7 linked regions of the Canis lupus familiaris genome follow. The protein of the gene in region 6 interacts with the protein of the main gene of each other region in a biochemical or structural test. Links are inferred from orthologs where the notes say so. Each region holds a gene or a part of one and is shown on either strand. Other genes may lie near its edges. The genes, in order: UBE2H, CDC34, UBE2G1, UBE2L6, UBE2W, UBA1 and UBE2Q2.

The links.
Region 1: of the proteins of UBA1 (region 6) and UBE2H, one has a biochemical effect on the other in vitro, tested with the Homo sapiens proteins (3 studies listed by BioGRID, with this or other methods). The link is inferred for Canis lupus familiaris from reciprocal best matches to the Homo sapiens genes UBA1 and UBE2H.
Region 2: of the proteins of UBA1 (region 6) and CDC34, one has a biochemical effect on the other in vitro, tested with the Homo sapiens proteins (7 studies listed by BioGRID, with this or other methods). The link is inferred for Canis lupus familiaris from reciprocal best matches to the Homo sapiens genes UBA1 and CDC34.
Region 3: of the proteins of UBA1 (region 6) and UBE2G1, one has a biochemical effect on the other in vitro, tested with the Homo sapiens proteins (3 studies listed by BioGRID, with this or other methods). The link is inferred for Canis lupus familiaris from reciprocal best matches to the Homo sapiens genes UBA1 and UBE2G1.
Region 4: of the proteins of UBA1 (region 6) and UBE2L6, one has a biochemical effect on the other in vitro, tested with the Homo sapiens proteins (2 studies listed by BioGRID). The link is inferred for Canis lupus familiaris from reciprocal best matches to the Homo sapiens genes UBA1 and UBE2L6.
Region 5: of the proteins of UBA1 (region 6) and UBE2W, one has a biochemical effect on the other in vitro, tested with the Homo sapiens proteins (5 studies listed by BioGRID, with this or other methods). The link is inferred for Canis lupus familiaris from reciprocal best matches to the Homo sapiens genes UBA1 and UBE2W.
Region 7: of the proteins of UBA1 (region 6) and UBE2Q2, one has a biochemical effect on the other in vitro, tested with the Homo sapiens proteins (3 studies listed by BioGRID). The link is inferred for Canis lupus familiaris from reciprocal best matches to the Homo sapiens genes UBA1 and UBE2Q2.

What each region holds. Positions count from the first base shown.
Region 1 is NC_049235.1:6,765,152-6,769,354, reverse strand, and holds the start of UBE2H (ubiquitin-conjugating enzyme E2 H), read right to left. Parts: upstream 2,801-4,203; 5' UTR 2,367-2,800; coding exon 2,314-2,366; intron 1,961-2,313; exon of another isoform or gene 1,857-1,960; coding exon of another isoform or gene 1,822-1,856; intron 1-1,821. UniProt on the Homo sapiens protein: Accepts ubiquitin from the E1 complex and catalyzes its covalent attachment to other proteins. E2 ubiquitin conjugating enzyme that transfers ubiquitin to MAEA, a core component of the CTLH E3 ubiquitin-protein ligase complex.
Region 2 is NC_049241.1:58,444,854-58,448,944, forward strand, and holds the start of CDC34 (ubiquitin-conjugating enzyme E2 R1), read right to left. Parts: upstream 2,801-4,091; 5' UTR 2,779-2,800; coding exon 2,602-2,778; intron 417-2,601; coding exon 330-416; intron 225-329; coding exon 127-224; intron 1-126. UniProt on the Homo sapiens protein: E2 ubiquitin-conjugating enzyme that accepts ubiquitin from an E1 ubiquitin-activating protein, and catalyzes its covalent attachment to other proteins by an E3 ubiquitin-protein ligase complex. In vitro catalyzes 'Lys-48'-linked polyubiquitination.
Region 3 is NC_049226.1:30,628,810-30,632,883, reverse strand, and holds the start of UBE2G1 (ubiquitin-conjugating enzyme E2 G1), read left to right. Parts: upstream 1-1,274; 5' UTR 1,275-1,381; coding exon 1,382-1,427; intron 1,428-4,074. UniProt on the Homo sapiens protein: Accepts ubiquitin from the E1 complex and catalyzes its covalent attachment to other proteins. In vitro catalyzes 'Lys-48'-, as well as 'Lys-63'-linked polyubiquitination. May be involved in degradation of muscle-specific proteins.
Region 4 is NC_049239.1:39,085,514-39,088,259, forward strand, and holds the end of UBE2L6 (ubiquitin/ISG15-conjugating enzyme E2 L6), read left to right. Parts: intron 1-1,536; coding exon 1,537-1,688; 3' UTR 1,689-2,246; downstream 2,247-2,746. UniProt on the Homo sapiens protein: Catalyzes the covalent attachment of ubiquitin or ISG15 to other proteins. Functions in the E6/E6-AP-induced ubiquitination of p53/TP53. Promotes ubiquitination and subsequent proteasomal degradation of FLT3.
Region 5 is NC_049250.1:22,894,820-22,898,908, reverse strand, and holds the start of UBE2W (ubiquitin-conjugating enzyme E2 W), read left to right. Parts: upstream 1-1,289; 5' UTR 1,290-1,296; coding exon 1,297-1,398; intron 1,399-4,089. UniProt on the Homo sapiens protein: Accepts ubiquitin from the E1 complex and catalyzes its covalent attachment to other proteins.
Region 6 is NC_049260.1:40,985,432-40,989,679, forward strand, and holds the start of UBA1 (ubiquitin-like modifier-activating enzyme 1), read left to right. Parts: upstream 1-1,448; 5' UTR 1,449-1,603; intron 1,604-2,103; exon of another isoform or gene 2,104-2,433; intron 2,434-4,248. UniProt on the Homo sapiens protein: Catalyzes the first step in ubiquitin conjugation to mark cellular proteins for degradation through the ubiquitin-proteasome system.
Region 7 is NC_049251.1:40,621,687-40,625,842, forward strand, and holds the start of UBE2Q2 (ubiquitin-conjugating enzyme E2 Q2), read right to left. Parts: upstream 2,801-4,156; 5' UTR 2,692-2,800; coding exon 2,506-2,691; intron 1-2,505.

The sequences.
Region 1 (4,203 bases), on a different chromosome or scaffold from region 6:
GTCTGTTGTCCTCCTATCTCAGAGATCTATGATTTTAAAGCGCCTCTGCTTTCTTTTGTCAGAAAGGAGGAAGGTGGGGAAAGAACAGAAGGCCAATGCATCTTTGCCTTTCTTCATCTTCTACTAAAAATAAGCTATGAAATAAGCCACTTAGGGGAAGAAAAAAGAGAAAGACACCCTGCTGTTCTTTGTCTGTTTTCCTCTCCCTCTCAACCCCCCACACTCCGACTCCTAAATGCGGTAATCATTCTAGATGCCACAACTACTAAATGAACAAAAGGCACTGTATGGAAAAGGCATCAGGTCAAGTTAGGCCTCACCCTTTATCCTCAATCTTCTAAAAATATAGATGTATATAATTTGAGACTCTGACATTGATCAGAAACAGCTGGAATTCTCTCTCCACCTCCATCCCAATTAAACATTAGGTAGAAATTTGCATTAGGTGTGACAGTAACTCTCAATTCAGGATAAAAATAACTCAGATTCTGCCACCATGTCATTTCCTAGTTTCTAAACAAAAATAAAACCCAAAACTGCTTTGTGTAAAATGCACACACAGCCACAGTTACAAGTTTTCCTGCAACCATATGAAAAGCCAGCGTTACTGGGATCATTCACACATTTACAAAACTCAATCACAGTCACAAACAGCTCATAAAGAGTCAATTTCACTTGTGCCTAGACACATATTTGGAACACATATTATTTGCTCCTCTCTGTAATCTCCTCTCCCATCTCCCCAAAATTGTAAACTTCAAACCCTAAAACTTAGAAGTCTATCTAATGTTCCTAATTTCTAGCTAAGTTTTCCTGAGTGAAGAGAAAAACACCTTATTCCTGAAAAGATGAAAAAAAAATTTTTTTCTTGCCCAGGCAACTTCCCTCCCATCCCCCACTTCCAATCCAAATACAAAAACTACTTTTTTAAAACTTCAGAGAATTCCATAACTGAGTTGACAATAATCATCAATCTCTGAAAAGAGGGAAAACGTCCAATCAAAGACAGTAAGAAAAGTAAGAAAGAAGGAATTCACCTGAAGAATCTAGCCAAACAACTTGAGTTATATAAACAAAACCCTGCAACGGGGGAAATGGTGGGGGGATGGGGGTGAGGGAGAAAGAGAAGCAGGAGACAGGACTTTTTAACTGCGTTTCACACACCACCACTCCCCATCCCCGGTTCCCCTTCTCCCCAGGGATTAGTTGTTCAGAACACTGGGCTCATTTCCTCTCTCTCTCTCCCCTCACCCCCCCCCCCAACCCTCTAAATTACCCCTCAAAAATTGTCTCGATTTGTCACAGGAACCCTCGCGAATTTCTCTAGCTGGTCATGAAATAATCAGTCTGGACTCCAACCAAAACCACTGCCTGAAGGGCCCTTATCAGTTACAGCTTTCCCACTGCTACCTCCAGAGTACATAAAGTTGGGGGGAGGGAGGAAAATAAAGGGTGTCACTTGGTAAAATCAGGGCAGTTATTCCACAAGAACCTTACCCTCATAGAGGGAGTTTGCTCGAGTGGCTAATACAGGGGCTATTTTGTCAAGGAGATCCTCTTTCTCACCCTCCCCCAGCTGTCATAACCACAATATGGAGGGTGGCTTGCTGGAGGGCCTGGGGGTCCTCATCACATCCAACTATGGGTGGGACAGGCTTTGTCAGTGAAAAGAAAAACGGTGAGGTTCTTCGAGGGACCAGAAAGCTTAACCGGGGTCCCTGATTTAAAACACTCAGCTCTTTATTACAACAGGGGGCACTGAGCAGACTACTCTTCCTAATATAGAAAGGAATTAGGGATAAAGGAGGTCACTTGAGTTACCCCAGTTCAAGAAGCATAGGAGGGAACAGAGGCATCTCAAGAAAGGAAGAAAGGCTTCACTCTCGGGGATTTCTATCACGAGTCCCTAAATCCAGAGCGAGCAAACAGGAGAGACCCCGAGGTGGGCACGGTGGTCAAGAGAGGTGGATGGTCCTGCAAAAAAAAAAAAAAAAAAAAAAAAAAGGCCGTCTCGGGAACCCAAATGTCGTGGAGGAAAGTCACGGGCAAGGGGGGTGCAGAAGAGCGAGGAACAACGCACATTTCGGGGTGCTGCAGATAAAGGGGGAGCTGAAAAGGCTCCTGGCTCCTGGCTCCTGGGAGGTGCCAAGGAGCCGCCGTAGGCACGGGGGTGGGGGGGAGGGAGGAGAGGAAGGGAGCCTCGGACAGTGGCCTGGAGTGCCCCAAGGCCCCTGCCTGGGTTTCAGGGGGTGCCCGGGGCATCCCCACACCGCCCCCCCTTGACAGCCCGAATCCCCCCTCCACGAAGGATACAGCTTGACCACGTCCGTGTCCATCCGCCTCTTGCCCGGACTGGGGGATGACATGGTGTCGCCGCTGCCTCCCCGTCGCCTGCGCCGCCGCCGCCTCTCTCCTTTCCTCGGCCCGTCTATCACGGGCCCCGGGCCCCGGCTCCTCGGTGGAGGTGGCAACACCCCCGCGGTCCTGTCGGGTCCCGTCAGCCGCCGCCGCCGCCGCCGCCGCCCCCCGCACGGGGGAACACCGGGCACTGTCCGGCCGGGTGGGGGTGGGGACCCCGCGGCGCCCGGCTCGGGCTGCCCCTCTCCGGCTGTGGGTTCCTCCGCGGCCCGGCCCCGGCGCTACTCTGCGCCGCGCGTCGCTCCCTGCTGCCTGCTCTAGCTCGCTCGCCTGCTCGCCTGCTCGCCCGCTCACCCTCTCGCCGGCTCCCTAGCAGCCTCCACGACAAGCGGACGACTCCTGCTCAGTCGGCCTCTCTACCCCAGCCTCGCTCTGGGCGCCGTGACGTCACCTCTGTGACGTCATCGGCGGGGCGGGCCCGGCTGGCGAAAGGGGTGGGGCGCCGCCGCCGCGGCGTGGACTCTCCCGGGTGGTTCTGGGAGATGTAGTTCTTCTTTCTCTTGCCCTCCCAGCCCAGTGCCCCCTCCCCCAACTCCCCCCACCCCCACATTTAATCGCTCAACTGCCAGTGTCGTTATCATCATCATAAATGATAATAGTAAAGAATGGCAATATTATTACATTTGTGTGTTTTAGGGTAGTGAACCTCCTTCTCATATACACTGTTAGAAAGGCTGTTTATTTGATTTGAGGTGGCAATTACTAGGATAGGCACCAAAATCTGGAAATTCCCACACTAGCAGGTCCCCTGCACCCTGCTCCCTCCTTGGATGGAAGGAATCTGTTTGCAGCGATTGTAGACTACAGCGAGGCTTCCTCAGAACTTGCAAACCAGGGTTCATTACCCTCCTTGTAGAGAGGGCCACAATTTCAAGGATTAACCTTGAGGCAGCTAGTTGGCAAGACCGGAAATAATTTGGTACTAGCATCCTTACCCCACAGAGTATGAGGTAATTTCACAAAGTGAATGACTGGTAGACGCAGAAACACCCCAAGTATGCTGTAGTTCGAAGGACAAAGATTGTTCTGCCTTCCACACTCCTGTACCAACCCTGTATATTCCATCATTCGTTCATAAATAGTTATTGAGCACCTACTGTGTGTGAATCACTCCACTGGGCATGAGGATATCATGGTGAACTAAGAAAGACTTTAAATTTACACAGCCTTCCCAATATGGTCTGCAGATCTAGAGCATCAGCCTCACCTGGGAACTTGTTAGAAATGCAGGCTAGAGCTTCACCTCAGACCTACTGCATTAGAATTTGCAGTTTAACAAGGTCCCCAGGTGGTTCCTATGTGCAGTGAAGTTTGAGAGTCACTGCTCTACAAAGCACTCCATAAGAAGTGGTATGGGACCCACCAGTCAACAAGGCAAAAGGGGCAGAAAAGAGTGATCTAGGCATCTCCTGAGGTTTATATCACATTTTTTGCTGCCATTGACTCTATTTTCAAAATTTTTATCTATTCTCTTGTTCCTATGAGTATACTTGTACTTTGTCAGACCACGTGCTGTGAGATGGGTCCCCTTCTACAACCTCCCATAGACACAAACATACACGCACACACACACCTAGGGCAGCAGCAATCAACTAATGTTGAGCATTCTTCATTCCTATCATCCCATTCTTCCAAAGGACTAGTAATTTGTGTATGTGATTAATATACATAACATAAATTTTGCCACTTCAGCCATTTTAAGGTGCACAATTCAGTGTATTAAATACATTCACCAATGTTCTACAACCATCACTACTCTCCATTTCCAGAACTTCATCATCCCAA
Region 2 (4,091 bases), on a different chromosome or scaffold from region 6:
TGCAGGGAGTCGTGGCCCTGTCCTCCCGCGTCCGCGCCCCAGGGCTGGCCGGGCCTGAGGGAGCCCCACAGGGGCAGGGGTCCATCTGCTGAGCAGCCCCTCACACAGGGCCCGGTCCACTCTCACCTGACGTTCTGGGTGGGGTTCCACCGCTCTGAGGGCAGCTCCCCACTCTGGGGGTCATCGACTGGGGGGTGGAGAATGGAGATGCACACGTCCCCCGTCTGTGGGTACAGGACGGAGGGATCAGGGCCCACACCGCTCACCACTCGGCAGGCAGCGCAGCGTGTCCCCCGACAGGGAGGCTGCAGGGCACGCGGCGGACTCACCTCGTAGATGTTGGGGTGCCACATCTTGGTCAGGAACCGGAAAGCCGGCGGGGAGTAGGGATAGTCGATGGGGAACTTGAGGCGTGCCTGGGAGGGCAGAGCGCAGGAGCTCAGCCAGTGCCGCCCACGGCCCCCAGCCCAGGGCCGCAGACCAGGGTGTGAGCTGGGACAGACGCGCCCGCCCGGAGGCCGCCTGGACCCTGCCTGCCGCACGCACCGCCCGCAGGCCCCAGGACTACTCAGGGTCCCCCGAGCCGATCCGGGCCCCACCCCGCGGCTGGGAGCAGGTCTCAGGCCGTGCTCAGTCCAGGCCTGTGGGAGGGACGCGCAGCCAGGCCCCAGGGAGCGCGGCGGGCTCGGGCCGGCACATGGCTCCGGCTGGCAGGGCCCTGGGAGCTGTGCACCCCCGCACGGTGGTGGACTCCTCGGCCTCAGTTTCCAGGTTGTGGGGAAGATTAAAATAGACGTGTGTTCACTCAGCAATCACTCCCGACACCTCTGTGGGCCGGGCCCTGTGGGAGGAGATGAGTCAGCGCTGGACAGACGGGCTCTCTGCCCACAAGTGTCCATCACGGGGGGGCCAGGAAGGCAGACAGGAAGGTCACGGGGCAGACTGGGGAGGGCCACCTGCCCAGGTGACACACTGCTCAGGCCTCAGCAGGTAAAGAAGCCGTGTTGGCTTGTTTGAGCCCCAGGCCCAGACGTGGGGAGGCCTGGCCCCGGATCCTGGCGGAGCTCCAGGCCGGCAGGGGCGAGCCAGCGAGCTGGGAGACAAAGCTGGGCACGTGTGCGGCAACTCCCCCAGGCCCGAATTTGGAAAGTCTCCTTCCTGGGCAGGGGGCACTCGGGGCATTTGGGGGAAGTCCCTCTGCTCTGGGGTGACCATGCTGAGGCCCAGGAGGCAGGCAGCTGGCTGGCGACTGCAGAGCACTCCTGGAACTCAGAACCTGCCCTAAGAGTTTCCAGTGATGGCCCTCGGGGGCGGGGCGGGGGGGCTCCCTGGCACCAAGCACCCACCGAATCGAGCATCCCCCGGGGAGACCGCACCACTGAGCAAGCTCAGGCTCAGAGAAGGAAAGTCCCCTACTGAGGACGCCCGGCGATAAGCCGGGAGGAGGCCTCTGAACTGCCTGTCTCTGGCACCCCGTCTGGTCACGGAGGCTCGGGAGGCCGGGCTGGCCGCAGGGCGCTGGGGGAAGTGGCTGGAAGTGACGGTGGTACTTCCCTGCGCTTCCCCAGCTCCGCTCCCGCCCGTCGCACCTGCACGAGGACCACACTGGGTGTGGGGCCCAGGCCGGCCTCCTGCAGACAGGGCCTGTGGCATCTGGAAATCTGGCCGTGGCCCAGCTCCAGTCCCTTCTTCTCAAGTGGGATGACCCCTCCCCCCCAAAGCCATCCTGGAGGATCTACCCACAATCCCTTGCAACCAGTTAACCGGCAAAAATCAGAAGCCCAAAGCCTGTGCCCTTTCCCTCCAGCTCTGCAGCCTCACCCAGGGGCTCGGCCTGCCTGAGCGTCCCGGCTGCGAGAGCCGTCGCCCTTGCAGCCCGAAGCAGACACAGGAGGCTGGCGAGGGCCCTAGATGCGCTACTAGGTGGCCAACCCCAAATCCGTGCCCTGCGTGCCAGCGGGGGCCGGGCTCCCCGGCCATGCAGAAGCTAGCCCAGGGCTGTCCACGCTCACGCCCCCTCGTCCCACTGCAGCACCACGGTGGGGTGCTCGCAACTCGGGAGTCGCCCCAGCTGACCAGGCTGCTCCCTCACGCCCGCGGCCGAGCAGGCTCAGCTAAAACATCAGCTGAAAGTGCAAACACAGACATGTGCCCCGGGAGCAGCGGCCGCCCCTCCCCCACCGCCTGGCTTCTGCTCCCCACCCTGCCCGGGGCAGAGCCTGGCAGGGCCTGGCAGGGCCTGGCGGGGCCTGGCGGGGCCTGGCGGGGCGCGCAGGCTCCCGAGCAGGGAGGGTCCTGGGCCGGCCTGGGCCGAGGGCTCGCTCCCCACCGCTCGGCAGCGAGACCCCTTGGCCCGCGCCTCTGGCTCGCGTGCACGGCCCGGCCCTGCAACCTGAGAAGCGTCCTCCGGCCCGACCGGGCTCCGGCGGCGAGGTCAGGAGGGCCGCCCGGGGCCTGGCTCCAGTCCTTTGTCACACCAGGGAAACGCGGCCAAGGCCGGGCGCGGCGGCCCTCCCGGCTCCAGGCAGCGCGGCGGGACGGCTCGGGGACCCCGCGGCCGGCGGGGGGCGCAGCGGGGCGAGCGGGGGCGCCGCGGCTCACCTTGAAGTAGCCGCCCTCGTAGTAGGTGTTGGGCGGCCCGAAGATGGCCACCTCCCAGTTGTACAGGTCGCCCTCGTCCACCAGGGTCACCCGGAAGCCCTCCACCGGCTCCTCCTGCAGCCCCTTGAGCTCCAGCAGCAGCGCCTTCTGCGAGCTGGGCACCAGCGGCCGGGCCATGGCGGCGGCGGCGGGGCCCGGGGTCGGGGGCGCGCGGGGCCGCGGGGCCGCCGCGGGGGCGCGGGACGGGCCGGGCCGCGCGCCGGCCGGGGGGACGCCGGGGCCGCCGCCGCCGCCTTCCTCCTCCTCCTCCTCGCCGCCGCCGCCGCCGCCCGGGACCCCGGGACGCTCCACTCGCTCTGGCGCCGCCGCCCGCCCGGCGCTCGCCTCCGCCTGGCCCGCGCGCCCCGCCCCGCGCTGCGCGTGCGCGCCGCCTCCGGCCCCCCGACCGCGCCTGCGCGCCGCGGCGGGGCCCGCACTGAGCCTGCGCGCCCGCCCGCGGGGCACGCCGGGAAGTGGAGTCCCCGCCCCCGGCCCGCCGAGCGCGCAGGCGCGACCGCCGGGAGGGACCGGGGGGGGGGGGGAGGCCAAGCGCGCAGGCGCCTGGGCGCTTCCGACCCCCGGGAGGCCGCCGCCGCCGCCCGCCGCTCGGACGAGCACCCCGGACGTCTGTGCGCGGGGAGGCGGGCAGGGCTGGGCTGCGCCGGCCCGGCACGCGCCGCGGGGCTTTTGGGGTCTTTTCTATGACGTCCCAGCGCGGGGCGGGGCCGGGGCGGGGTCGCCTGGCCCGGGCGGGGCGGAGCAGGTGGCTTCGCGGAAGGGGAGGAGCGGAGGGCGGGGCCTCAGTTTCCCTTCGGGGGAGCGGAGCGCGGGGCCGAGCTGGGGGCGGGGTTAGTCCCCACCGCGCCGGGCGCACACCTGGACGCACACCTGGACGCACACCTGGACGCACACCTGGCCCCGGCCTCCATCCTCCACGCCCTCAGGGACCCAGAGGGTGGGCGTGGCGCTGTGCCCGCAGCCTCGCTGGCAGGTGTCCGGCAGGCCCCAGACCAGCACCTGTGCTGCGAGCCCCTCCTCCAGGTGCCCCAACACCTGCCCCCCCGCCCCCCGCTGCCGTCGCCCAGGTGAGGACACACAGGGAGCCTTGTCTGGCGCGAGGGAAGCAGCATTTCATCTAGAGGAGAGGGACAGGGGACCGGAGGAAGAGCCCCGGGCCCGGCAGCGGCTTCCGGCGGCTGCCCCAAGGCGGGGACCCTGACGTTCCCATCCGCAGAGTGGGCAGCCGCTGCCCCGCACCCCGGGCCACCTGGCTCCGTGCCCCTGGCCAGGGGTTCCCTGGCCCTCGTTCTGTGCCCGCGGCGCCCACGTCAGCAGCGGCATGGGGCAGCTTGCCAGTAAATAGTAATTAGAAGTAATCACGATTCTTGCAAATCCAGATCCCAGGATCTCCCGACGGAAGCCCCGCTCCCCCACGAAGCATGGGTGGGGGG
Region 3 (4,074 bases), on a different chromosome or scaffold from region 6:
ACTGGTTTTTATGGAGCAGCCAGAAAGCTCCAGCGCGGGGACAAGCTAGGCTGCGGCAGGGAGGCCCTGAGGAGAGCGGACCGTTAAGTATGACTTCTTTTCTCGTTATAAAGAAACACGTTTGGGGCCTTCCTGTCTCGCTCTCCTCCTTAGTGACCCCGCACTGAGCACACCTGAGGCCTTGCCTGCGGAGCTTGTGACCCCGAGGGAGCAGGGCGCCCCTCTCCACGTGTACCTGCTCTGGGGGCGCCCAGGGCGATTCTCGGAGACATTCCTGATCTGGAGAGCGGTCTGAGCCAGGACGCAGCCAGCCTCCTGCGGGCAAGGGCAGGGCGGTCCTTCCCCGCGGCCCCCGCTACAGAGGCGTGCAGGTGCACCGGGCAGGTGCTGGAGGGACCGAGGGGCCGGAGCGCGCTCCACGGGGTCGCGCAGCCCCCGGGGCCGTGCAGGTGCTCGAGGGACGGGAAGGCCCAGGTTCCCTCCGCGGCCTCCGCGGCCCTCACAGCTGTGCAGGCGCACCGGGCAAGTGCTGGAGGACTGAGGGCCCGAGCGCCGTCCGCGGGGTCCCAGGTGATGCTCTAAGGTCAGTCCGCAGTAAGAGGTGCGCCAGGAATCTTCACCCTTCTTCCTGTAAAGGGAGTTAGAGCACCTGACGTCAGCTTCGGGGGTTTACGTAAAACGGGACACACCAGCACGAAGTTCGGCTCCAGCCACGGCTCGTTCGCAGTCGCCCGCAAGCTGGCCCCGCACTCCGGGACCACCTGCTCCAGCCCCGGGGCTAAGTCCGGGCAAGCGGCGACCTCCTCGTCATGGTGTCCATGCGGCGTCGGCCAGCGGCTCCTCTCCCCATACCCGCCCCGGCGTCCCCTGCGCCTCGCGCGACCTTCCCAAAATGGCGGCGGCGGGCGCCGCGGCGCGCAGGGGGCGGGATTCCGCCGGCGGGGGCGGGGCCGGCGGGCGGGCCGAGGCGAGGTGGGCAGCCCCAGCGCGCCTGCGCGGAGCGGCCCTGCGCGCAGTGAGGCAGTGGCGGGGGGAAAGGCAGTGGCGGGGGGAAGGCACCGGCGGGGCCGACGGGCGGCTCGAAGGAGGGGAGCGGGCAAGCGGAGTCCCAGTACGCGCCGCGGCCGCCCGGGCGCCCTCCCGTTCCGGGCGTGAGGCGCCGTGTGGAGCCCCCCGCGCTGACCCGCGCCGGTAGCGAGGCGCCGCTCCCGCCGCCAGCCCGGCCTGCCCCGGCCCCGGCCCCGGCCCCGGCCCCGGCCCCGGCCCCGGCTCTCCCGTCGCGGAGGCCCGCGTTCCTCAGCACTCCCGGCTCCGGGCGCCCCCACAGCCTGCTCCCGGCCCCTCGGAAGCCCCGGCGCCGGCCCGGGCCCTCGGCGGGAGGATGACGGAGCTGCAGTCGGCGCTGCTACTGCGGAGACAGCTGGCAGGTGAGCGCCGGCCGGCCCGGGCCCTCCTCCTCCGGGCGGGCGGCCGGGGCGAGGTCGGGGAGTCCGTCCGGCCGGGCCCGCACTCGGCCGGCGTCGGGAGGCCGTCGGGGGCGGGGACGCGGCCCGCCGCGGGGACCGGGCCGGCGCCCGCGCCCTCCCCTCCGCTCCCCTCCCCCACCGCGCGGTGGGACGTTGCGGGGGAGGGGCTGCGGGGCCCCGGAGGGGCGGGCCCCGGGGCTCAGGTGCGGCCGCGGGGGGAGGGGCGGCCGCGGGGCCGGGGGCCGGGGGCCGGGGGCCGGGGGCCGGGGGGCGTCCGGGCTGGCTGGCTGCGGGGGGCCGGGCCGGGCCGGCGGGCGGGGCGCGGGCGGGCGGGCGGGCGGGCTGGGGGAGGCGGCCCCCGGCCGCGGAGGGGAGGCGCGCAAAACTTCTGGCCGGCCGCGCGGCGCCGCGGAGTTGGGGCGGACAACAAAGCGCCGGCCTGGGCGGCCGCGGCGCGCGGGGTTGGCGGAGCGGGCAGTGCGGGCCGCCGCCGGCCGCCGCCGGGCCGCCTCCGCCTGGCACGGGCCCCGCCTGGCCCGCCCGCCTCGCCTCGCCCGCCGCGGAGGGTGGGAGCGGGCCGGGAGCCGCTCGCGGCCGCCCCGGGCTTTGTGCCCCGAGGGCCCCCGCACGGGCTCGCTGAGCCCCCGAGCCGCGGGGCCGGGCCGGGGCGGCGGCCGGGGGCGGTCCCCCGGGGCCGCCGGCGGCCCCCTCCCCCATTGTCCCGGCCTCCGGCCGTTTGCGGCTTCCAGGTTGACTTTTTAGGGGGTTGGCTCCTGCTCCGCTAGGACGGTGCGAGCGGGGCATGCGCACTGGGGGCGGACGTGCGCCGAGGGCGGGGGGGCCGGTGGCTTCACAATGCCGCCCCACGTGCTGCCAGATTTAAAGAGAAATGTGCACCCCCGGCCCGGCGCGCCTGCCGCCGTCGCCGCTGCTGCTCCCCGCGGGGTCCTCGCCGCCCCGGGCCCTGGGCCCCGGGTCCTGCGCTCGGCGCTCGGAGCCCGGGCCTGCAGAACTCCAGCTCGTCCACACTCCTCGAGCTGCTGCTTCAATCACCTCGATGGCTTCTTGAGAAAAAGGTTGTCAGGGACTGCTGGAGGTTGTATAATTAGCGTTATTATTAGACCATGAGCAAGCAGGTTTGGACACATTCAACTTCTGGATGCTCAGGGCAGTGACTTGAAGTGGATGGAGAAGTTCTGGCGATAGTTGATAATCCATCACGGAGAATGTATCGGAAAAGCGATGAAACAATGACCTTATTGCATCTTGTTTTTTGTCTTTTTTTTTTTTTTTGGTTTATTTTGTTTTGGAGGAAGGAGTTAGGATGTCCTTTTGTCTCGTGAAGAATTCTCTAATAAGTTTTTATTGTGTGCTGAACTATTGAACAGCGTTAGAATAAGAAGTCAGTAGTAAAACAGTCTTCAGCTCTTAACATGGCAGGAAAGATACACATTTTTAAAGGTGTGAAGGAAGTTAGGCAGTTACTAAGAAAGTAAAGTATGACTAAAAACAGTGGTAGCAGTTCTTGAGAAGTACTTTCCTACTCCGCTCTAGGTTTTGATGGCCTCTTGGTTCAGTTTTCCCTTTTTTGTCAAGATTAATCCCAATGTTGATAAAACATTTTCCAGAGGTCTTCATTTTTGGCTTAGTCTTTTAATCAATCAATTAATTAATTAATGATAGTCAGAGAGAGAGAGAGAGAGAGAGAGAGAGGCAGAGACACAGGCAGAGGGAGAAGCAGGCTCCATGCACCGGGAGCCTGATGTGGGATTCGATCCCGGGTCTCCAGGATCGCGCCCTGCGCCATCCGCAGGCGCTAAACCGGTGAGCCACCCTGGGATCCTCCCTGGCTTACTCTTTTAAAGGATTTTATGTGTAAGTGCTGTTTGCACCCAGTGTGGGACTCAAACCCACAACCCGGAATGGTGAGCTCTGCACCCTCCACCTGCTGAGCTTGCCGGTGCCCCACTGCTTGACTGTTAGCTAAGGCCATTGATACTCACTTTGAAGTTGGAGGAGAGACTGTATTGCTGTGTCATTTTTCAAGCTTCATTATAAAGTTAGTTAATTGCTGATTAAGTTTTCTTGCATTAAAAAAAATTTTTTTTTTTTTTTTTAAGATTTTATTTATTCATGAGAAACAGAGAGAGGCAGAGACAGGCAGAGGGAGGAGCAGGCTCCATGTGGGGAGCCTGATGCGGGGCTCGATCCCGGGACTCCAGGATCAGCCCTGGGCCAAAGGCAGATGCCTAACCGCTGAGCCACCCAGGGATCCCCATTTTTTTCTTGCATTTTTGATCAGAAGCAGTGGACTGTTCTTAATTTCTTAAAGATTTGGACGATTTTAAATAACATGAACAAAACAGGAGATGGAGTTTTTTTTTTTTTTTTTTAAGATTTTATTTATTCATGACAGACACACAGAGAGGGAGAGAGGCAGAGACACAGGCAGAGGGAGAAGCAGGCTCCAGGCTCCACTCAGGGAGCCCAGCGTGGGACTCGATCCTGGGTCCCCAGGATCCGACCCTGGGCTGAAGGCGGCGCTAAACCGCTGAGCCACCCGGGCTGCCCAAAGGGAGTGTTTTAAGTGAAATCTAAAAATATCAAG
Region 4 (2,746 bases), on a different chromosome or scaffold from region 6:
TACACGTCGATTAAGCCCTTGGAGGACCATGCTGGGAGCTTCGCACGCTGGCTTTGCCCAAATCCCCAGCAGCCCCATGTGCGGTGTCCCTGTCGCCCCGTTGTTTAACTAGGTGAGGACCCTGGGGCATGTGACAGGTCAAGCGCTCGCCCGCTGTTATACAGCTGGCAAGTGGCCGAGCTGGGCTTCAAAGCCAGGCTTGGCTGACTCTAGGACAGCGCTCCCCAGGAAGACGTTCTGTAGAGAAAGAAATGTTCCATAGCCGCACAGTGCGGTTCCCCAGTCAGTAGCCACGTGTGGCTCTTGAGCACCTGACATGTGGCTAATGTGACTGAGGAACTGAGTTCCTAATTGCAGTTAATTTTAATTCATTTCAAGTTATGTATCTGCACATGGCTAGTGGCTACCATAGTGGACAGTGTGTTTCTAGACTCCATGAGTGTGATCTGTGTGCAGAGTCTGTCTTGCTTCTGGACCAGCTCAGTTCTTCTTTTTTAAAATTAATTAATTAATTAATTAATTAATTAATTTTAAAGATTTTATTTATTTATTCATGAGAGACACAGAGAGAGAGAGAGGCAGAGACAGGCAGAGAGAGAAGCAGGCTCCATGCAGGGAACGCGATGTGGGATTTGATCCCAGGACTCTAGGATCACACCCTGGGCCGAAGGCAGGCGCTTAACCACTGAGCCACCCAGGCGTCCCTCATTTTTTTTTTTCCTCATTTATTTTTTTAAGAGACAGATAAAGAGAGAGCGTGCACGCTTGAGTGGGGGTGCAACTGAGGGGATGGGAGAGGGAGAGAAACTCAAGCAGACTCCCCACTATGCAAGGAGCCTGATGCTGGGCTTGATCTCATGCCCCTGAGATCAGGACCTGAGCTGAAATCAAGAGTCAAATGCTTAACTGAGCCACCCAGGCTCCACGACCAGCTCAGAATTCTTAGCCTTAGGAACAAGGATCCCTGGGGGGAAAAGGGGAGGGGAGATGTGTCCAGGGGGACTGTAGAGCGCTCTTTGCTTAGAACCCCATGTTTGTGTATGTTCGCATGTGCACATGCCTCAAGTGATGGGCCACTCCCTTCACCAGGTTCCCAGAGGAAAGATTGGGAGGCCACTGGGCAGTCGTGGTTTCCAGTCTTTAGAATCAGAACCCTTTTTCCCAAATAAAAGTTGATTTATTTAGAATCCTATCAAACAGAAAAACAGAGTGGTTCTTGTTGAAAAGGGGGTGAGACTCAGAAACCCCATTTATCTCATCAACCCCCATGATGGGAAGCTTCTCTGAAGCCACAGAACGTGGTTTGAAAGCACTGGTGCAGCCGGTCAGGGCTCTGGGCCCCATCAGTGAGGAATGAGGGCCATTTGACTTGGTCATAGAGTTATCATGGTCATTCCATCCAAGGAGATGGAACCTCCTTGGGAGTCCTCCACAGAGTGAGTATGGGATGCCGGGGGACCTAGGGGTGGGCTGCCATCGCCTCCTTCCCACGGTCTTTCTCTCATCCTAATGTCCTGATCTGGCCTCTCTCCCCAGTCTTGGAGGCTCTCAGCGTGCTGGTGAATAGACCAGACCTGGGGCAGCCAGTTCGGGTGGAGCTCGCCGACCTGCTGACGCGGGACCCAGAGCTGTTCAACAGAAAGGCCCAAGAGTTCACCCTCCAGTATGGAGTGGACCGGCCCTCCTAACTGGTTCTGACCCCTCTCTGTTGCTGGGTCCTCTGTGTGATGGACGACATGTTTGACAGACTGGGTGCTAGAGCCCCTCTCGTTTGTTTCATGTTTTCCTTCATGGGTTGTTAATCATTAGTCTGTGTGTGTGTGTGGTGTGTGGTCCCATTCCCAGGTTCACCTGGCCACAGGTGAGCCTTTCCTGCTCTCTTTTTTACCCCAGAGCCAGAGGAGTTCACGTTTGTGCAGTGACAGGCCAGCTCTCCAGCACTCTGTGGCCTGAAAATCTGGTCTCACTAATTGCTCTGTCTTACAGACACAGGTCACCTTTGGGCCAGGTGGCAGGAAACAAGCCCAGAAGGCAACTAGAATCTCCATGGGGCCCTGGCATCCCAGGGGGCAGAGGGGACATGGGGAGTGTGCATGGGAGAAGGATTTGTCTTTACAGTTGAGCAATTTGTTGAGTGATTGAAGTCAGACCGCTAATAGGTGTACTGTATGTTTAGGTTCAGTATTAAATGTTTCCTTTTCTACTGATAAATCACAAAATAAAGAATCTCGATCCTGGAAATCTGATTACATGGTTCTGTTTTTTTGTTTTTGTTTTTAAGATTTATTTACTTATTTGAGAGAGAAAGCATGAGTAGGGAGAGAGGCAGAGGGAGAGGGAGAGCATCTCAAGCAGACCCCCTGATTAGCGCAGAGCCCGAGGCGGGGCTGGATCTCACGACCCTGAGATCATGACCTGAGCCAAAACCAAGCTTTGGATGCTCAACCAGTTGAGCCACCCAGGCGCTCCTGATAACGTGGTTTTAAACTTTTTTTTTTTTTTCTAAAGACTATTTATTTGAGAGAGAGAGAGAGCACATGTGGGCAGGGGGCTGGGCAGAGAGAGAGGGAGACTCTCAAACAGACTCCAGGCCGTATGTGGAGTCTGAGGCGGGGCTCATTCCCACGACCCCGAGATCATTGTGAGCTGAAACCAAGAGTCGGATGCTTAACCGGCTGAGCCACCCAGACGCTCCCGACTACATGGCTTTGAGACCACTTGCAATCCCATTCGGTTGCCAGTTCCT
Region 5 (4,089 bases), on a different chromosome or scaffold from region 6:
AGAGAGAGAGAGAGGCAGAGACATAGGCAGAGGAAGAAGCAGGCTCCACGCAGGAAGCCCCACGCGGGACTCCATCCCCGGTCTCCAGGATCGTGCCCTGGGCCAAAGGCAGGCGCCAAACCGCTGAGCCACCCAGGGATCCCCTTCCATTTTATTCTTAACCAATGACAACTGAAGTTGTCGAATAGCTTTTTTTTTTTTTAAGATTTTATTTATTTACTCATGAGAGACAGAGAGAGAGAGAGAGAGAGAGAGAGAGAGAGAGGCAGAGACAGGCAGAGGGAGAAGCAGGCTCCATGCAGGGAGCCCGACGTGGGACTTGATCCCAGGTCTCCAGGATCACACCCTGGGCTGAAGGCAGGTGCTCAACCGCTGAGCCACCCGGGGGTCCCTGGCATAGCTTTTTAAAAGGTGGCTTCTGATAAATGTTGGCAGAACTGGTGCATTCCAGAAAAAATTCTGGATGCTCACCTCTCCCTACTCAAATACATCCCTAGGTCAAATGACCACAGAACTGCCCACCACGAAACAGGCTGAAGCCAAGTCCAGATGTGACAAAAGGTGTCAAGTGTATACTACAAAGTGCACAGATCCATCAAAACAACAAAACAAAACAATCGCGTCTAGGGTCAAATCCCTACACAGATGTGAATGCCGTAACAACCTAACTATTACGGATACCCGTTTAGTTTAAAACCGAGGGGCTGGTGTAAAGGGGGAAACAACAGCACACGAACCAAAGAAAAACTTTAAAAATGTCTCTTCCCTTTCGGGCAAGTTTCAGCTCTACAAATCCACCCTGGCCCTTAGAATGCCAACGTACTGTTTTGCTCTCCGTCCTCATCCCATTGTACAACGACATGCGTCTTTCTCCCCCGACACTGGGAACACGAGAAGCCTTCCAGACCGTAAAGAGTAAAAGGCAGCCCCGCGGGCAGGGGAACCGCGCCCCAAGGTGTGAATATGGGCCTGGCGCGGTGGAGAAGACGTCCAAGAGCATCTTCCAACCACACCACCAGCGGTTGGAAAAACAAAGCAAAAAGAAAAACCAACGGGGCTGGGCATCATCAAGATGTTAGGGTAAACAGAGAAAAAAAAAAAAAAAAAACCTACGGCCGTCGCCAGGTGAGGCCCGGCGCGGCGGCGAGGGAGCGCGGCCGCCGGAGAGCGCGCTGGGCCCGAGGGTACCAACAGCGCCATTGACCGCGCTCCCGCCGCCCCTCCCCCCGCCGGGGCGCCAGCCAATCCCCTCCCGCCGTCGCCTTCCCACCGGAGGCCCCGCCCCCGGCGCCCAGGATGCTGGGCCCCCGCGGCGTGACGCGAGCACGGCGGCTCCGCCCCCTGCGTCTCTGGCCTCGCCGGCCTTGGGGGGATGGTTCCATCATGGCGTCAATGCAGGTGAGAGGAGTTTGCAGCATCTGGGCGGGCGAGGGAGCCGCCGAGAGGACGCAAGCGTTTTGTCGGGGGCGGCGTCCGGGACTCTGGGGCACCCGGGCGGGTTCGGGAGCGGCCCTGGTGGCCAGTCCTTTCCCGGCTTCAGGACGTTGGGGAGGGGTGCGAGGCGGCGAGAAGAAGGGCGGGGGAGGGGGGGGTCCTCGGGCGGTCGAAGCGGACACCAGCCGGCCGGGAAGTTGGGGGATAAAGAAGGCTGAGAGGAGGAAGGGGTGAAGTTTGGCGTTGGCGTGGCGGCAGTGGTCTCGGGTCGCCTCTCGCTCACACTGACGCTGGCCTGCCCGCCCGCCCCGGGGATGCCTTCCCCGCGGTCCCCGGCCGGGCGGAAACAGCTGCTCTGGCCGTCGTCGCTGGGGCAAGGGCGGCCCGGAGAGGGGCCGGGGGCGGGGGGGAGCTGAAAAGGCGTTCCGGGGACGGCGGCCAGCTGCAGAAGCGCCTCGCGGCCTCTGCTCAGGCCTCCCACGCCCAGCTGCTCCGACCGCTCGGCCCTGCTCTCTTTGACTCTCACTCCTTTGCCCCGTGGGTACCTTCCTCTGTTAGCTTTCGCACCCTCTGCGAACCTTAGTGCGGCAGCGCACTCGCTCTCCCGAGGCTGCCCTTGGCCCTTCAACATCATTTGCCTCCTAAGAGGCAGTCTCCCCGAGATCTGAGTCACTAGCCCCCTTATACCTCCGGGATGGCTCGCCCTCAGATTTTTTTTTTTTTTTCTTTCCCTGCGGTGCCCCACCCTTGTGGTCGCGGTAAAGCTCCAGCCCTTTGCCCTTCTTCCCTAGATCTTTAGTGGAATCTTAGTTTGGTAGGAGGCATTTATTAACCTGTGTCATAGCTGCCTGACTTAGCAGTTCATGGGTTTCTGGCTTTCCAACTTAATATGCTCCTTTTTTTCCAGATCCAAGGAGTTTTGTTTTTTTGTTTTTTTGTGGTTTTTTGTTTTGTTTTGTTTTTTCTTTTTTCCCCCCAGGCAAAGATGGCAACCACCACTGCAGTTTTGTAAAGATTGACTCTGCTTTATCTATAGCCTGCATTTAATTTTACAAATGAAGACTAGCTCTGATGAGAACACCTAGGGAGAGAAGATAGAACTGTTGTTTGGAGTGGCAGCTGAGTGCTTTTTAGAGTTTTAACATCTTAAAGAGACCCACGTTTTTCTTAGGATTCAGTGCTTTTGTTTCTAGAAGAATAAGCAAATCTTCTTATCTTCCCCCACCCTCTGTTTTTGGTTTGTTTTTCATTTCTAGGCGAGAACACTTTTTTCTTCTCTTTTCTGCATCTTCCTCTTTTGCGTACATACTTGCTTCACATTTACTTTTGTGCTTTTGTGTTATCCCCTTTCAACCAGTTTTCCATGCGATATTCTATTTACCGTTGCTGCTGCTTCTGGACTTTCCTGAAGAATAGAAAAATGTCTAACTTTCCTACTTGAAGGGATGTCACAAAACGGTGCAGGGAAAAAACAAGAACAATTTGAGGAAACATTATACTTTACACTGGTCTCCCCAGAGACGTTAGAGAGGTTTCGTCATTTGAGGCCAAAAAAGGAACTGTGGAACACTAGTTGAACAGTAGATGGGCTATATGACTAATTTAAGATAGTTTGTATTAAGATTAAAATAATTTGTTTCAAGACTAAAAATTATGGTTAAACCCACAGCACCTGTGATTATATTTAACAAGACAATTATAGGGATAACTAGTTAGCTGGTTAGATGTAAACTTTGAGGGTCTGAAAAAACAAATTTCCCGGTTTAAGAGAAAAAAGTGAATACAGAATTGGGTCAGTGCAGGACTTAATGTTGATAATCTTGAATTTTACATGGTGACTTGAGCAATGGAAAAAAAAATATTTGCCACTGCAATAAGTGGAATTTTCTGTGTTTTAGGTATTTTCCCACTGCTTGTTTGTATTTTCGAAATATCTGATACAGATATTTCAGATACAGGTTTTCTGACAGTACCTTGAAAAATAATTTTAATATAGATAAATCAAGCTTTTCGAAATTCAGTACTGGTTTCTGTGTGGTTATTCCGTCTTTGGTGAATAAAATTTTTCCTGACCATCTTTATAGCAAAATGTTGTGTTAAAGATTTTATTTTATTTTTTTTTTTAAGTAATCTCTGCATCCAACCTGGGGCTCAAACTCACAACCCCAAGATCAAGACTCTGCTCTACCAACTAAGCCAGCTAGATGCCCCTTAATAGCAAAATTTCACTCTTTTCAAAACAACTGGATTTGTTTATTTACTCAATTATTTTTTAAGGGCCCTACTGTGCTACTAATCAGAGTGCTAGAGATAGAGCAGTGAACAAAAGTAGACAAGGATTTCTGCTCTGGATACAATAGTCTAGTTGGGGGAGACAGATAACCAAATACTTAAGTTAATTGCATATTATATTAGAAGGTGATAATGCTATGAAGGGAAAGCATGGAAGGAGGTTAGGAAATGGATGTTTTGGGGATTTCAGTCAGAGTGCTTAGGAAAAAGTATACATATGCTGCTCTAACCATGTCCTTACCTAAAAAGTTTTCAGATTTCTTTATCTTACGCCAGGTCGTCAGGATGTTATCGCGGCTGAGGAGATTACTGAAGCTATAAGAACTATTTTAAAGACATACAAATTATAGAAATGTAATATAA
Region 6 (4,248 bases):
TTTTCCCTTCCTTGCTCCTCACTCTTCTCTGACTACACAGACTTCTGCACTCTTACTCAGACAAGAAAACTACAGCCTCGGGCTTTGCACCTGATGATCCCTTGGTCTGGAATGTTTTCCCCCATGTGACACATGGCCTGGTTCCTCACTTTTCACATGCCACTTCCTCAGAGAGGCGGTCCCTGACCACTTTACATGGAGTTTCAGGGGAGGTCTCTCTGAGGGGTGGCAGAAGATAAATAGGAAGGAAAAGATCTGATTGAAGAGTGTTCTCGACTGTTGCAAGGGCAATCTCCTTCATATGTTTTTTTTTTAAGATTTTTATTTATTTATTCATGAGAGACACCAGAGAGAGAGCACGCGCATGAGAGTGCCACAGGCAGAGAGCCACAGGCAGAGGGAGAAGCAGGCTCCATGCAGGGAGCCTGATGTGGGACTCGATCCCAGGACTCCAGGATCACGCCCTGGGCCTAAGGCAGGCGCAAAACCGCTGAGCCACCCAGGGATCCCCTCCTTCATGTTTTTTGCTACATTCCCAGTGTTCTGCACTTAGTAGGCATGCAAGAAATCTTTTTCAAATGAATAAATTTGGTGGTTATTGACAGGATATGAGATGCAGAATTTGGGATAGGGTGATAAAGATATTTTCTGTTAAACACCTTTGCTCAAACATCACCACCTCAGCAAGGCTTTCTTTGACCACACTAAAAATACAGACAACCCCCAGATTTCCCCTGATCTTGTTCTATTTCTCTCCATAGCACTTGGCAGTTGTCACATACATATATACAACACGTATTTACATGTGTACTTAATTATATATTCGCATATGAATATAGAATACACACAATGTATATAAGACATTTATCACATACAGAGGTAAATTATTTACATATTGACACTATCATGTTATGTCAATAAGTAGTATTTATATGCATATTTTATTACATATAATTCATACTATACAGTCACATATATCTATTATAATAAGTATTTATATGCAAAACTGTTAAGTTTTACTTATTTGCCATATTTCTGGTCTCTCTCGCAAGAACATCAGCTCCGTGAGGGCAGGGAAAGAATCCCTAGCACCTAGCCCACAGCTTGAACTCCATAAATGTCAAGTGAATGAACTCCTTGGCTACCTGAGCCTCAGTCTTCCCATCCGTAGGATGGGTGTGCCTTTACATCTGGAGGTACCCCATGTTCCACATCCTTTTTCAATCCCCCAGAGCGCAGCTCCGGGAATTCCACAGTCAGGGTTTACATTCTCCCATACTCTGGGCGCTGTAGCCCACCACGTGCACCAGGCACGGGCCAGACAGGACTACCACCCCCAGCATGCCTCGCGCGATAGGGACGTACCACAGCCCGTAGGGGTGTCTGGGTCTGACACGGGCGCCGACAGCACGGGAGCAGAGGCGGGCGCCCCTCTAGCTAAGCATCTGTGGTACGTCCCAAACTGGGGGCCCTTCAAGGCCCCGCGCTTCCGAGCTCCGCGCAAACTCTGGCTCTTGTACGACGGAGGTGGTTTGCTCTTCCGTTGCCCCGTGGCTTCGGCTCATCTCCAGCAGGAAGGCGAGGCTTCCGCCCGGCGCAGGGGGTGAGCTGGAGCACGGTGCCCCCAAACCCTAGACAGCATTTGGGGGAGGGGACTCAATTTGGGGGATCCCCTGATGGGCACATTTGGAGGCTCTGGGCCCGGGGTGGCGTTTAGGGGTGGTTGTGTTCGAGTGGTCCCTTAGGAAGTGGCATTTGGGGACCCCAGGATAGTATTTTGAGTCTGTTTTAAGGAGTATCACTGGGAGGGAGGCAGGATTTATATACCCCTCGGAGGCAGGCGTTAGGGGGATGTTTGAGGAGACCCTTAAGGTCCGTGTATGAGTTCTCTGTCCATGAGGCAGGATATGGAGGTGCTCTCCAAAGGGAGAAGCGAAGTTTGAGGTTCCCGAAGTCCAGGCGGAATTTGGGGAGAGCTTGTTTCAAGCAAGGTCCTATGACAGAGGAAACGTTCGGGACCGACGTGGCATTGTGGATGTATCTGTGGCCTTTGTGACCTCTAGTTTTATGATGAGGTCCCCCCGCGCTTAGGTACTCGCGGCGAGGCGACCGGACACGTCGGGGCCCACACGTTTTTAGGGAGAGGGACCCCCCCAGCCCAGGCTGTTGAAGGGACGCTGGAACCCAGTGTGCTGGGCTCTTCCCGAGGGGACGGCGTGCTACCGGGCCTCCGTTGGTCGCGGCTTTTTTCATTATTCATGAGGAGGTGGGATTGCTAAGGAAGCCCATTTTTGCCGCTTTCACACCTGGTCCGCTGGAAGTATCGGCTTGTGAATTATTCACGAGGGGGCGGATCAGCGTGCTGGAGGGATGTGCTGAACGGGCATTCTGCAGTCTCCCGGGCAAACTAGAACTCATTGATTAATCGTAAAGGTGAGTAGCGCCCCGAGTTTTCTGTGGCTTTTGTAGGGGCATTGTGCATAATTCATGAGGGGCGTAGCTTTTGCAGTTTCACCTGCATGACCCGCTGTTAGCTTTCCCTTACAGGTTCCAAGATTTAAGCCTTAAGTCAACCAAAGGGACGAGGCCTCCTACATTGTTCATTCCTTATGGCCCAGTAATTCCAGATTATCCACAAAGGCTCTAGATTCAAATCCCATCGATCCTTGCCAAGCCCTGTGATCTTTGGCAGATCTTTCTGTGAGCCTGAAAATGTGTATGGGCACAATAATGATCAGATGAGTTTACACTCATTTCACACTTTATTAGCCCATTTAATCCCCACAACAATCCTAGGAGATAGGTTATTATTACCCCATTTTATAGATGAGGAAACTGGGACACTGGGAGGCTAAGTAATTTGCCTAAACTTACTTAGTCAGTGAGTGGCTAGGCCAGGATTCAAACCCCATCAGTCAATCTAGTTCCAGAGTCTGTAGTCTTAATCAAATACCGTAATGTACCCTCCACCACCACTTTAATTGCATATACTACTACTGATGTTAGTCATATAGCACTTGTGCATGGCACTGTTCAAAGCCTTTTCTGCCTATTTACTCACTTAAACTCCCATCACACAAGGTAGGTTACTATTGTTCTCATTTTATGACTGGAGAAACGGTGGCCCAGAAAAGCAAAATGTCTAGCCCCTGGTCACACAGCCAGTTGTAGGTGGGTGGAAATGATTTTTGTGAGGGTTCAAGAACTCTCTAAGGAGGTCGCCTTTGAGCTAAGACCTGAAGGCCAGGAAGGAACCAATTTCCTGCTCTGCATTCCTGAGAACAGTGGCACAATGCATGGGAAGAACACATCACCATAATACGTGATCTGTTAAATATGATCTATTATTATTTGAGAGAAGTGTATTGGGTGTTTATTGTGTACCTGAGGCTTTGGTATATAGTTGTATCTCTCGTGACCTGGTCCTCTATCCATCTTACCTATTCAGTAGACATTGGAGGCTTTAGCATTCTGTTTTCCATTGTCCTTCTGTGGTTGGTTGACTCAAGGCATTGTTTTCTTTTTCTTTTCTTTTTTTAAAGACTTTATTTATTTATTCATGAGAGAGGCAGAGGGAGAAACAGGCTCCACACAGGGAACCTGATGTGGGACTCGATCCCGGGACTCCAGGATTACACCCTGGGCCAAAGGCAGGCACTAAACCACTGAGCCACCCAGGCATCCCTCTTTTTCTTTTTAATGCTGAATGATATTTCATTGTCTGGTTAAGACATTGTTTTTTAAATAATGCTCCCAGTTGGGGGTTTCTCTGGTGGCTGAGTATACTCTCACCCGTAACCAGTTTTATATTAATATAAATATATATTTACATAGTTCTTTTATGTTATTATATAATACTTTAATTAAACAGCGCCCTGTGTCAGCATTGCCAGCTCACTCCCTAATCCATATTCTCTGATTTTCATAATAGCACATTTTGCCTTTATGAGGTAAATGGGTTCTATTTCCAGCCCCATTTTACAGTTTTGGAAACTGAAGCACCTGCCAAAGTCATATTAGTGAGTCTGGATTCCGTTGGACCAAGACAGCCCTGGTTCCTGTGCAGTTAGTCAGGGGTGGGGAGAAGGCATCTACACTTCCCCTGGGTTTCCCCTGTGGCTCTGCAGTATCGGTTTTCATTATTCATGAATAGGAAGGCGTGGCTGTGTTGCCTTGGCTGGAGTACTATAATCTCCAGTAGCTAGGGCTGTCTTGAGTGTTTCTGTCCATCCAGCCTCGTACATAATT
Region 7 (4,156 bases), on a different chromosome or scaffold from region 6:
GAGAAGACTATTCAGAAACTGGCAAGCAGGAGTGCAAGGAAACGGGTGAGGCGCAGTTTTCTCAAATGTTAAAGACACTGTGTAAGTATGCTTCCTGGTGAGCAAGGGAAAAGACAGGGCCTAGCACGTGGAGGAGCTCAATAAATATCTGGGAATAAGAGCAAAAAACAAAAAACAGATAAAATTCAGTATTTTTTTTTTTAAGAGCTATAACATTTTAGAGAATAGCAATTCACAAACACAATAGACAGGAAATCCAACCTCATTTTTTTCTTTGCTCTTTCCCCTCTAAGCAAGCGGTATGGGCACCAGCAAGCCATGTAGATTTTATCAAACACCTACCTATGCTTAAAGAGTGTCGTCTATTTTTTAGAGATACTCACTGAAATATTTACAGATGGAGTGACAGACCAGGAACCTGCTTCAAACTAATCTGAGGTGGGGTACAGGTGACATTGGTGATTGGCCAAAAATTGACCATTGATGAGGCTGAAGACATGGAGGTCCTCCACACTATTCAACTTGTGCATGTTTGAGGTTTTTCCATAAAAAGTTAATACACGTTCCTGTACACTGAGCACTCAGCATGGTAACTATTTTCTAGTGAGACCTCTCACAATCCTGAGTAGCTCCTCATACTGGTCCATCCCACACCCTCCTTCCACCCGGTGTTTCTAATCCACCCCCGTGCTGTGCTCTGCTCTGTGCAGCTGATTCCTATCAGCCTCCTCTGCTTCTCACTGGAGACGATGCCGGCGTCGTGCTGTGGGCACAGCCTGGACACTAAAGGACATCTGTCACCCCTGGAGCCCTGGCACTAGGCGCCAGCACAGCAGCGGTGTGACCCTATGGCCACCGAGGTGACCACAGCCATCCACACACACTTCCTGAGACCACACCCCGGAGAGAACTCCTTCTGGCCAGGGCAAGCACAGTTTTCCCGACTTACCTCAGGAATTTAGGAGCTGCCAGAAGCCTACAGGGTGCATCTGAGCACGTAAGGCAGCCCTACCACGTCCTGGGCAGCTTCCCTGCAATGGTCAGCACTCAGGCCAGTCTCCTTCATGCTCACTACTACTTCCTGCTTCCCATGTGTGGGAAATGTTGTCCTTTACCAGCCTATAGCCTCATACTTTGTCTACTTCTAGGCAAGCCCCATTTTCTCAAGCTTTGGTGTCTTTTCTGGATAGTTCCCTCTGCCTGAACCGAGCTTCCACGCCCAAGATTCTACTCACCTGTGAAGGCCCCACTCCACTGCCACCCCCCCACACACACACACACCAAACTCTAGTTAAGTGCTGTCTCGGGCTTTCCTAACGACCCCGTAGAGCTTGACAACCCTCGGTCATACGAACCTCTTCCCCAAAGACGATTTTGTTCTGAAAACTGCTCTACCCAGTTTTGCAAACCGGCCCTAGAACAGCACACCTAGACGCTGCACGCCTGCTCTCCCCAGCACAGCACTTGTCTCTGTCTCTCAAAAATACACAGCTGCTCCCGCAGAGCGTCTGAAAATGATTTCACCGTCAGTTATCATGACTTCCAGCCCTTTCCAACTCCCCAGTGCCACCGGCTTCACCAGACTTGGCTCCAGGGAGCGCCCGGCGGCCACCTGGACTCCTGCTGTCAGAAGCTACTCCGCGGCTGGGAACAGCACCCCAAGTCAACGGGTCACCGTTCCCTCAAACACACCCAGGAAAGGGTTATGAAACGCCAATCCCGCTGTTCCTAACGAGCCTCCAATTTAACCCAAAGAGGGAGCTTTAAACTGCCGCTTGGGCTTTGTGGCCTAAAATCCTCTTTCCGGGCAGAAGGCTTGGACAAACATCCCCTTCTGCCTGCAGATCATCCCGAGGCTTACGCCCAGGGGGGCCCGGCGGCCAGAGCCCGCGGCAGCACCTGCGAGCCCGGTACGAGGCGCCCTTGGGGCTCGGCCGCCCGCGCGGAGCCAGGCCTGCAGGAAGGGGTCGTTCAAGCAGCACCGGACGCTGCGTTCTCCACTCTCCCTGGAAGGCGGCAGTTCCCCGCGTCAGCTCTTCCTTAAACGTAGCTGGGGGAATAAGGGAGCCCAGGGACAGCTGACTGCAGAGTAGGGGGCCCCCCATCGGGTGCCGGGGCTCCCCCTGCCGCAGGGACAGCGGGTGTGGCGGCCGCGGGGACACGGGCGGGCCCAGGGGGCAGAGCGGGCCGAGCGCCCGCAGCCCCACGGCCGCCCCGCGGGACAGGTGGGGGTAAGCCCCCTCCTCCCCCTCCCTCCCCCTCCGTCCCCTCCCCCTCCTTCCCCTCCTTCCCCTCCTCCCCCTCCTCCACCCGCGCCTCGCTCCAGGGCCCGGCCTGCGCCCCGCGGGGGCCGGGGAGGGGCCGGGGCCTTGAGGGGCGACTGCCCCTGCCTCCCGCCCCCTCCCCTAACCATTCTCCCCCGCCCCGTCCCCTAACCCCCTTCTCCCCTCCCCTCCCCCCTCCCCCCCAGCCCCGGCCGAGCCCCGGCCGAGCCCCGCGCCTCACCGTGATATTGCAGTGCAGCGAGAGCGGCGGCGGCGGGCGCGGGCTGCCGGGCGGGGCCGGGGGCGGCGGCAGGAACTGGCAGTGCAGCTCGTCCAGCTTCCAGCTGACGACGCGGAGCCGCTCGTGGTCCTTGTGGAAGACGGACGCCAGGAGCTCCAGCTCGGCCTTGAGCCCCGCCACCGACATCCTGCCCTCATCTCCGGCGGGCCCGGAGCCGCCGTCACGGCCGCCGCAGCCCCGCAGGGCCCCCCGGCCGCCGGCCCGCGCGACGCGGCGAGAAACGGCGGGGGCGGCGGGGCCTCGGGCGGCTCCCGGCAACCGACTCGGCGGCCCGTGAGCGCGGCCCCGCGGCTTCAAAGGGCAACGGCGCCACCGCCCCCGCCCCGCGCCCCGCCCCGCGCCCCGCCCCGCGCCCCGCCCCCCCGCGCCCGCCCCCCGCGCGGCCCCGCCCCCTCCCCGCGGCTCCGGCTCTAGCGCCGGCACGCCCCGCCCCCGCCCCCGTGCGGCCCCGCCCCCCTCCGACCCCGCCCCGCGGCTCCGGCGTCTGCACGCCCCGCCCCCTCTCCGACCCCGCCCCCCTAGGCCCCGCCCCTCTCCGACCCCGCCCCGCGGCTCCGGCGTCTGCACGTCCCGCCCCCTCTCCGGCCCCGCCCCCTAGGCCCCGCCCCTCTCCGACCCCGCCCCGCGGCTCCGGCGTCTGCACGTCCCGCCCCCTCTCCGGCCCCGCCCCCTAGGCCCCGCCCCTCTCCGACCCCGCCCCGCGGCTCCGGCGTCTGCACGTCCCGCCCCCTCTCCGGCCCCGCCCCCTAGGCCCCGCCCCTCTCCGACCCCGCCCCGCGGCTCCGGCGTCTGCACGTCCCGCCCCCTCTCCGGCCCCGCCCCTAGGCCCCGCCCCTCTCCGACTCCGCCCCCTAGGCCCCGCCCCCCTAGGCCCCGCCCTGACCCCGCGCGCTTCTGCCCCGCCCGTCGGCCGCGCTCCGCGGGCCCTGGGTCTCGGGGTGTGGGGCGGGCGGGCCCCGGGGCGCGTCACCTGCAGGATCCGCAGACCCCTGCGCGCCTCTGCCCCGAGCCCGGCGGGCCACCTGGGCGGGGTGGGGACGGGGCGCAGGGGGCGCAGGGCCGCACAGCTGCTCGCACCCGGACCCGCCCCGCTAGCCCGGGCCCCTGCCAGCGTCTTTCCTTTCCTTTCCTGCCCTGAGCGTTGGTCCCCTTCCCACGCTTAAGGAAACCCTCTGAGCTCCCAGGAGGCAGGACTGGCCTATTTTCAGTGAAGTCTTAGCTCAAATGTGTCAGAGGGCCGCCCAGTCACCCAACACCGCGTCATCCTAGGTTAACGTTTTTACTCAGCACCAATCACTGATATTTTGCTTATTTGTCCATCGTCTCTGCCCAACACGAATGTCTTCTTCAGAGTTGCATCCAGGACTTGGAACAAGGCCCTTCGCGGACACGCAGCGTCCCTGCCTGGATGCTCCTGGGAGGCCTGCCCAGCACGTGCTGCAAGCCCCGGCGCCTTCCGTGCGGGTGCAGGATGCCTGGAGGATGCCTGGCGGTCCCTCCAACGGACCGAGCCTAACGGGGGAGGGGGGGGGGCAGGGGCCTAGAAGGAGGACTCACTCCCTGGCTGTGCGACCTCTGCAGGTGCACAGGG